Caenorhabditis elegans: one gene and its partner. The protein of the gene in region 1 interacts with the protein of each later gene in a biochemical or structural test. Each region holds a gene or a part of one and is shown in the gene's direction. Other genes may lie near its edges. The genes, in order: unc-10 and unc-13.

The links.
Region 2: the proteins of unc-10 (region 1) and unc-13 form a complex in vitro, tested with the Caenorhabditis elegans proteins (one study listed by BioGRID).

What each region holds. Positions count from the first base shown.
Region 1 is NC_003284.9:7,277,032-7,281,848, reverse strand, and holds the start of unc-10 (Rab-3-interacting molecule unc-10), read left to right. Parts: upstream 1-1,526; 5' UTR 1,527-1,547; coding exon 1,548-1,616; intron 1,617-1,765; exon of another isoform or gene 1,766-1,904; intron 1,905-1,949; coding exon 1,950-1,999; intron 2,000-2,058; coding exon 2,059-2,192; intron 2,193-2,246; exon of another isoform or gene 2,247-2,331; intron 2,332-2,371; coding exon 2,372-2,442; intron 2,443-2,856; coding exon 2,857-3,044; intron 3,045-3,157; coding exon 3,158-3,494; intron 3,495-3,551; coding exon 3,552-3,696; intron 3,697-3,805; coding exon 3,806-3,894; intron 3,895-4,101; coding exon 4,102-4,157; intron 4,158-4,204; coding exon 4,205-4,386; intron 4,387-4,445; coding exon 4,446-4,545; intron 4,546-4,817. UniProt on the Caenorhabditis elegans protein: Regulates the efficiency of a post-docking step of the release pathway. Acts after vesicle docking likely via regulating priming. May regulate the conformational changes in syntaxin.
Region 2 is NC_003279.8:7,421,151-7,426,015, forward strand, and holds the start of unc-13 (Phorbol ester/diacylglycerol-binding protein unc-13), read left to right. Parts: upstream 1-1,634; coding exon 1,635-1,707; intron 1,708-1,807; coding exon 1,808-1,837; intron 1,838-3,783; coding exon 3,784-3,883; intron 3,884-4,178; coding exon 4,179-4,289; intron 4,290-4,522; coding exon 4,523-4,653; intron 4,654-4,865.

The sequences.
Region 1 (4,817 bases):
AAAAGTTTGTTCGATTGTTGAACAAAAATGTTTTGCTTTTGCTGTGAGTTTTAATAATTAGTTACTTCATAGTCCTAGTAGGAATTCTGAACGTATCTGAAAGGGCATTGAAGGGGCGTGAACTTTTTGGAAAGGTGATCCCTCGTCCTGTTCCCTGTTTGTCTGTCCCCTGTCCTCACCTCCTTCGTCTTCTTTTTCTGTCGTTTTATACTTCTCTTTGCTATGCATTCATGAACAGATAATCCAATTTGAGGCTGAGGCCTGCGTGTGTATGTGTGTGTATGTGTGGAGGCCCTCCAACGAAGAAAGAACAAAACTTGGCAATCTTGAGCATATTGGATAAGCTGCCCGCTGAGTTGCTAATTGTCAACGTTTGGCACAAACGCCACATAGAGCCATCTCGGGATGGAAAGGGAGAGAAGACTGGTTGGGGGAGAAAAGAAGGGTAGAGCCTTTGGAGCATTTTTGTGTTTTGCGGGCGTTGCTCCATCCCTTCGTCGTTTTCTCCACCCTGCGTTTGCGCATCAGTCGCCACACGCCGCTAGCCCCCGAGTCCTAAACCCCTCCCTCCCATCTACACACATCCATTTATTTATTAGAAGAGCTCTGAGTAAAACATGAACTATTCGCTATCCGTGGCCTTGTTTTATTCATTGCTTATATCGCATTCGCCCGGGTTTTCCTCCTGGGCGCGCCTTGTCTTTTTTCTTTTCCTCCCGTTTCACCTCCGTTTTTCCTTTCGCCCTCTTTCTCTTTCCTTACGGATACGGGAGGCTCCCCCCACCCCTATCTTCAAACCTTGTCTTTTTTCCGTGCTCAGGGAAACGAGCATGAATTCATTGTCTCAAATGAATGTCTCCTTTTGTGCATCATTAATCTTGCATCGAATTTTGCTTTTTATTCTTACATGCTTTTGTCCACTTTGCACAAGCTGTCCATTTTTTGTCAATTCAAACATCAGCTTGAACCTTTACCTGTCCATGGTTGGCCTTTTTTTATGGCGAAACCTGGCGAACCCAATATCCATCACCCTTCTATTCCTTTTCTTTTCCCGTTTTCCTTCGCTTCCCACTTCCCCACCTCCTACGCTTATTTCTTATTCCTTTCCCGTTTTAGTGCTCTCTTTCTCTTTTTTGCAAAAAGTTCTTGATAGCAGTAAAGAAAAGAAGAGGAAGACTATTTTTGGATGTCCCGAGTTTCCCACGGTATTCATCGACGTCGTCGTCGAAAATGACCACATCCAGTCTTACTGGGCGCTCATGTCTTGGAAAAGGCGTCATTTTTCAACGTTTCTAATCCCGGACGCTCTTATTTTTCCTCTCTCGGTTTCCCCATCTTTGACGCTGTTCTTTTTTTGTTTCAGCGTTGATCCTGTTTTCTTGTTGGCCTTTATTGACATACAACTCTTAAACCGAACAAATTCGTTTCTATTCTTTCTATTCGGATTGTTATCGCGCTTTAGTCTTTTTATACGCTATGATTTCACATGATGCAATAACTCCTTATTACCTTAAAAATCAAACTTCAGTGCCTCATTAAATATAATCATGGACGATCCGTCGATGATGCCGGATTTATCCCATTTATCTGCAGAAGAACGTGAAATAATAGAAAATGTGAGTTGTTCCAGCACGAACCCCCTCCCCCCCCCCCCCCCCCCCCATCGTTCATTTTGCCCATCCGTCTGCTTCTTGTGGGGTTCAAAAAAGTAGTTGGTGCGGTGTGAGTCCTCTGTCTCGGAGCATGACGGGCCCCCCGAGGGGTGAAAGAGCGAGAAAAGGGGAGGGGTATTACTTACAACGCCGTGAGCACACGCAAAATAATGGATATGCAATCAAACGAGTGTGTGCTCTTATGTACATTCGACAAGAAAATTGGCATGATATCATGCGTGCACATACATATAGAGAATACTCACTCAGAACGCTCATGATTTATGTTTTTTGCAGGTCTTCAAACGACAAAAAGATGAGGAGGCAAAAGAAACACAAATATCACAGTAAGAGTTTTGTAGACACATAATTGCATTGGTATTTCTTCATGCGAATGATTTTCCAGAAAAGCATCTGAAGAATTGTCAGAGTTAGACAAACAGATCACGGAGCGGAAAGAAACATCGAAAAAGCTGGTTGGCACACAAGATGACGCGATCTGTCAAATCTGTCAGAAGACCAAATTTGCGGACGGAATTGGTACGTTGTTCCTTTTCCTGAAGAAGCGATGAGAGCAAAGGGTCCTTCTGTCGCCCTGAGATGAGCCTCGTTTTCTGTTCCTAGTAATTCTCTCCGCGGCGTCAGAGAGCCCCTAACCCTTGGCTGTCATCGTCTCTCTAAAAGGACATCAATTTAGCACAAGATGAGAGGTTTTTCAGGCCACAAGTGCTTTTATTGTCAATTGCGTAGCTGCGCCAGATGTGGAGGTAGAGCACAGAGCAAAAATAAGGTACGAGCGGGAGTGAAAGTGTGGGATGAAATAAGGGGAAACATGAAAGAGAAAGGACAAATTCTGGATGACTGCATTTGAATAACAGAATAAAAACCAATTTGAGCAAAATCGACTTGAACATTTTTGCGATATGATGTTGCAATGTTTATATTTTCACAAAAAAAATCTAAACTTTACAATTTATTATAAAATCATGTTTAATTTTATAGTTAATGAATCTAATTTGGAAATCAAGCGAAATAATCGTTTTTACATCTAAAAAAATACGACAGAAGCTGAAAAACAATAGCATCCATTGTTTGCAAAGTAGTTTGGAATAAAGAGATAAATAGAAAGTATTAGCCCCGTGGGTGCACCGACCGATAAAAAAGTAGAGAAGTGAATTGAAGAGAAGAAGTAAAAAGCTTTCAGGCAATCTGGGCTTGTTCGTTGTGCCAGAAACGTCAACAAATTCTTGCCAAAACAGGCAAATGGTTCCAACCCGAAGAGCAGCCGCAGCCGAAAATTAGCGGCTCCGAGCCAAGCCCTTCGCCCCAACCACTAACTGACGACAACGTACCAGAACCGCAGCAGAGGCGAGCAGAGCCGCCTGATAAAATGTGAGTTTCTTCCGGTTTCTTTTACTTTTCCAAGTTTGTGTTTGATTGTTACATGTTCCTTTGAAGCGTTAGTTTCAATCAATCACAATTCAGACTAATTTTCATATTTTCAGGAACACTCCAAATTATCAAAACAACCAACAACCCCGTGGAATGGGAATGCAGCCAAATCATAATCAAACTCAGCAGAATTTCATGAATCAGAACCAAAATTCAAATCAACATCCAAATCAAAACCACAATCAGAATCAAATGCAGAACCCGCATCAAAATCAAAATCATGTTCAAAATAATCATCAAGGAGCCAACAATCATCAACAGAATAATCGAAGAGCTATGCAACAACAGCCAATGAGTCAAAATCAGGCAAATCAGATAAATCAGATGAATCAAAACCAAAATCAACAACAGAGCCACAATCAGAATATGACTCAAAACCAGAGAAACCAGGTACTTGAAGTTGGAAAGTTCCACGATTATTTCAAATTCTACATGTAAATAATTCAGACTGGCCCCCAAAACCAACAAAGGACAAATGACTCTCGAACTATGAAACAAACGCCTCAACAGCAGCCCAGTCAGTATCAAAACAACGTAGGCGCGGCACATCAACACCATAATCAACATGGACAACAAGAGCAGCATCATCAACGTAAGAGCCTCCAGGGGTATAAAAAGAGAAAGTGAAAAACAAAACAAAAAAGTGTTGTGCGCTAAAATTGCGAACGAGACGCAAATTGATATAGTCTGGATAATTTCAGAAATGAATGAACAACGGACGGATAACAACAGAATGAGAGAGAATACTAACGGGCAAGGAGGAATGTTCAATAGGCAGCCGTCATTAGAGGTGAAGGGATCAGGGATATCAAAAACGAGCTTTTGAAAAAAGATTGAGCAGCTTATTATTAGGGTGATACTTCTGTAAAAGTAATGAACAAATGTGAAGAATCATCTAGAGCGGAAAATTTGGTCAGAATTACAGTACTGTCGTACAAAGTTCAGAGTAGAAAAATATATTAAAATGAAAAAAAAAACGAAATTGTTTCTAATTTAGCAAACTACGCCCATGAACAAATACAATCACGTTGAGGATGATGGCATGAACCAGCGGTAAGTATCCCATAAAGTTTAAAAACTTGATACCCACTTGCTTTCAGACCCACGTTCTACACTGGAAATTCCGAGAATGACCAAAGACAATTTGATGGCCAAATGCAACAGGGCTCACAACAAAATAATCAGAATCAGAACCAAAACAACCGAAATCTTAGAAAAAACACAGTCAGCCGGGTAACAGAGGAGGATTATGCAAGTTCGTCAAACTTCGAATCTAAGAAACGTAAGATGATATCATATCGATAATACCTTGCTAAATTCTATTTTGAGAATCAATTTCAGAGCGGAACAACTCTTCACAGAGTCAGTCCAACACGCAAGGCGTGCGAGCATGTCCTTCTACTGACGACCATTTGAACCGGGTGAAAAATCGATTGCATAGGTGAGCAAGTGTAATTTGGCTAATGGAAAAAATAGACAAACTCAATTGAGTAATGTCTTTTTTGTACTAAGTGCTCAAGCTTTGAGTTCATTGCTTTCCCTCTTCCAGTTACGTCTCCATTTTCTCATTATTTAGCATGACTTCCTTTTTGTTCTGCTGATCACTTTTTTAGTCAAACCAACAGCAAAACAGAAACCAGAAGAGCGCCTTTCGGTTTCAATGCAAATTTTTAATGAGCATTGCCTCATTTAGCTTTTTTCGCTCTTCATCAG
Region 2 (4,865 bases), on another chromosome or scaffold:
TCTGTTTTGAAGCATTGAGTGGCATCTAGGTCTAGAAATTGGAATGGAGAGCACTAGAGCGTGAGAACCGTCCACATACACAAACACATATAAACGTCCTCCTATTGTCCATTTCTGAAACCCAATTGGTGAAAAAGTAAGAGAGAGAGAGGGACACCAAAAGAGAAATTGTGGTGAAGGGAAGAGTGGTGGTAGTGGGTGCAACTATCTCTGGGTTCTCCGAGAATTCAGTGCTCCGTGCTCCTCTAGCTTGGCTCCGCGACGTCTTCTGCTACTCCGTCCTCAATTTTTGCGAAGGGGGGAGTGGCGAATAGGGGGTAGAGAGCGGGAGCAGAAGAAGAAGAAAGCACAAGCTCATCCAGTCGCCGTCTCCACACTCTCCGTTATACTTATTCCGGTTCTCTGCGTCTATTAGTTTGAATCACTATCTCACTGGTTTCTTTAGTATATACTCCAAAAAATGCTACTTTTTCGCGCATTTTGCGTTCGTTTCTTTTTTTGGACTTTCTTAATCAACTTTTTTTGTGGTTTGATCAAGATTTTTTCGTTTAGGTTTGGAATTTTAGACAAAAATTATATTAAAGAGTTTACAGCTTTTTTGTCCATAAGAAGTTCATGTTGAAGTTTTGTTTTTTTATTGTAAAAATAATGTAGCACCAGTCAGGATTTTGTCAAAATCAAAAATAAAAGTGCTTAAATGAGACCCTAAAAAATTGTTTCAGATTTTTCAAATGTTCAGTCAAAATGATGTTATACTGCCAAAATTTAATTTTGCAAACTCTTTAATTTTTTTGACTGGTAACAAAAATTTCGTTTTTTTAATTTCGTTTTTTTTTTTTTTTTTTTGAAAAAATTTTCACTATGTTCCACTTTTGAATGTTAAAATCACTGAGTTACTAACACATTCTTGAAATTTTCTCATTTAAAGAATAAAAACAACTTTGACAAGAGAAAGAAGTAAAACAATATAGTTTTTCTAAACTTGTATTTACTTTTTAACCCAGTTTTTCGTATTTCATAGTAAAAAAAGTATAGAAAAAAGTGATGCATTTTTCATTATAATGCAGAAGGCACCTCGAGGCTATACGCATTTTCTTAGCAAAAAAAGGAGCTCATTTTTTCTGTATTTTATGACTTTTCATCATGTCATGCATATAATTTTTTATTCATTGTTATGTAGGAATTGAGAGTTTTGTTTTTAATTTAATTTTTATATAAAATTAAGGGGCTTTGAACACGTTCTATCTATAACTTTCTTTGAACAAAAACTACAAAACACAAATTTCAAAGATCTCTGGATCTGTCTGATTAGGCTGTTAGTTCTTTTGAACTTACTTACTTCTGCTTAATCCAATTATTTGTACCACTCATCACTGACCTTCAGTTTAACTTTTGTCTATAGGTTAAACTTGATCTCAAGCTTTAACTCTGCACCAGGAACTTGAACCTAAACCTGATCTCTAATTGATTCGCTAAAACCTTAAAATTCTGAAAATCCTGATCCAAAAACTCTCCAGGAGACCAAGTTGTTCTCGGCATTGGAACAACTGGTCGGCGGCGCGTACCCATCTGGGGAGGCCGCTTCCTCTTCAACCATCGCCCAAGAATATGCCACGTTTCAACAATCAGAAGGGATGGATGACGTTGGAGATTACAATGATGATCAACTTTCAGATGGCATGAGCATGAGGTTGCTCTGCATTACCAGTGAGTTGTTATTTGTGTTCTTCTTGCCGTCTCGAGAATACATATATACGAGACCATCGACACTCAGTTATGGACGAGATGTTAACATTGATTGTTTCAGTTAAAAAAGCACGACTTCAAGGAGCTGTCGGTGAGTATTTCTATTGATTTTATAACTTAAAATATATAGTTCAGTTTTCATTTAAAATAATTTATTTCGTTTGAAAAATACTGGAAATTCCCTGAAACTTGAAGTAGATAATGTAACAAATATTCTGAGAGTTCTGCCAATTTTTTGAAAAAAATCTGAAAATGTAACAGTGTGCCAGTACTGTTACAATTAGTCTCGATGACCATAGAACCAAAAGATGCTCCTGCTCCAAATACTTTTAAAAAATCATAGTCAGAGCTAACTGAAAATCAAGTGGCTCTTCCACTTTATGAATCATCACTTTATCTCAACAAAAAACTATTAACTTGCCAGATGTCTGAAATGTGGATCTGACTTTTTTTAAATGAAATGTCCACCTCCTTTGGGTGAAAGACTAAAAAATCTGAATAAATCCCTTTCTGCAAATCGAGAAACGATCATGCGTGGCGTTGCTCCGATTTGTAGTTGTCGCCTGAGAAATTCATCATTCGTGACACCTGTCATTCCAGTTTCACGGGGCGACCTCCCGAATAATAAATCTCATCGTGAAACGCGCGTTTTCATGCTTCGATGACACACGAAATAATGCACAACTTATACCTCAACATCACGTACAAGATGTGCTTAGTATTCTGAATGTATGTGTATGCACCCGCCTCTTCTATTTTCCCATCCCTTTTTTTTGGCAAATTTTAATCAAATTTTGGGACCTTTTTAGAGTAAGATAAGAGAAAAGAGTCGTTGAAGAGGCAGGAAAAGTTTAACTACATTCGTGAGCAAGTGAGTAAGTAAAAAGTAAGAAACCGGAAAAAAGTTGCCAGGAAATTAAACATAGAAGCACCGGGGGCACCTCTAAACAAGAGAGTAAGTCACTGGGGAAAACGTTTGAAATGGAATGACGAATGAATGAGGGCACCGGAGACGAAACAAGATACGGTGGACTGGAAGCTTAAAGACCAAGAAAAATGAAATGAAACTTAAACTTTGTTATTTATCATGTACGTTAAGCTCAAGAAAAAATTATGGAATTAAAATTTTAAAAAATTATTAAAAATTAAGCGAAACATATATTTCCAATGCTTTTGAAATAATTTTTGATATTTCATTTAATTTTGAGAATATAGAACAAATGTTTTCGTTTTTTTAAGTATTAGTAGTAAAGAATGTGTCTGAAGTTACACATATAGTTCGAAAAACCCCACATTCTAAACGTAAGTTGACAAAATCCCGCTAAAAGTACCCCATCTTTAAAGCATATAGTAAGAGCATATAGTAATAGTAAGAATACAACCAGCTTGTTCAAAAAATTTAACAAATCGTTCAATGTTTAGTAGCTTTTTACATTTACTATAAATCTCATGAGAAAGAACTTTAAAGATTCTTGATCTTTCACTCAAGTTTGAGCCAGAAATTGAGTTATAATTCACGTTGTTCTCTTTTTTTTTTTCTTTTCAACTAAAAAAAATATAGCTTCTTTTTTTATTGTTCCCCTGGGTACAAAAGTTTAACTGAGCGTCCCAGTAATTTTCATGAGAGCATATTTATAGTTAACGTGTTACATTCTAACTCTTGTTTTAGGACCCAATTGTTTTCAACTGTCCCATTTTTAGGATTAGCCAATAAGTTGTCCAGCAGTAAAAAAATTTTGAAGTTGCGATTTTATTTAGGATTGGAGAGATTTTGCAGATTTATAATCTTCTCTAGATTTTTTCAAATTTCTTTTTGGAAATGAAATCTCAACAACTTTTCACCTTCGTTTTACCAAAGTCTTATCAAGTTTTGATTTTTAAAATTTTGATTATCAAAACTTGGATTGAGTTGAAATTTTCTATAAATTTTAAAGAGGTTTTGTACAAGCATTAACGTTTCGCGCCCTCCCTATCATTAGAGCATGTTTTTTTTCAGTTTTTAAATTTTTGAAAAACAATTTAAATGCCTGATCTCAGATGAATTCAACTCGTACGTGACGGTGAAGCTGCAGACTGTAAAATCAACAACTGTGGCTGTGCGTGGCAACTTACCATGCTGGGAGCAGGAATTCATTTTGTAAGTTGTCATTGACAGGTGAAATACGGTAAAGGAGACCGATTTTTGTAAATGTTATAAAAAAAGAACAGCTGAAAATAGTAATATTTGATATTATGGAAGGAAAAATACCATTATGCGTAAATTGGTGTTATTTTGCCTCCTTTTTTTAGTTTTGGAACGTTTTACTTGTTTTTTTTTCATTACACTTACAATTATTTTATTAAAATAACAACAATTATATTTGAAAACCAATTAATCAAACATTAAGGTTTCAGCTAAACCACATCACCTCATATTTAATTAATTATTTCAGTGAAACAAATCGACCTGACGACGGAATGGTACTCGAATTATGGGCCAAAGGCGTTTTATGGGACAAATTAATAGGTGTTCATTATATGCCACTTTCGGAGATTAGATACAGGTAAAATTTTTTTTTAATTTCCAGTCGTCAGTTAAAATCACTCTAAAACCAATACTAAAATGGCAACATACTTTAATACAATTTTACGAAAAAATATGAACGTTTCTTATTTACAATGGAAAAGTGCAATTATTCAGTTTTCGCCACCTATAATTGTCGTAATTGAGCGGAAGTGGTTTCTAACTTTTAAAATTAATGTATCAGTTTTCTAAAAATACCCCATTGATTTTCAGCAATGCAGCAGGTTCGGGTCAATGGCTTCAAATGGATCATGAACTTGAAACAAGAAATGGTCAAACTGTAGGAACACGTGGTCCAACAGGTCATAACTTGTTGACTGATGTTCGATTTGAGCTTCCTTTTGGTGAGTGGTTGTTATTCAGAATTATAATTTCTTATAGTATGGATTTTTGTTGATATTCCCCTCCTCTGTGATTAAATCTTAATTATTTTATGCTATTATATATTCTTATATATTTCTAAATATATATATTCTAAAAGCCTGATCATGCTACTTGCTGAAGCACATTGAGCTAATTGCTGTTCATAATCAATTTACAATTTAACTTAATTAAT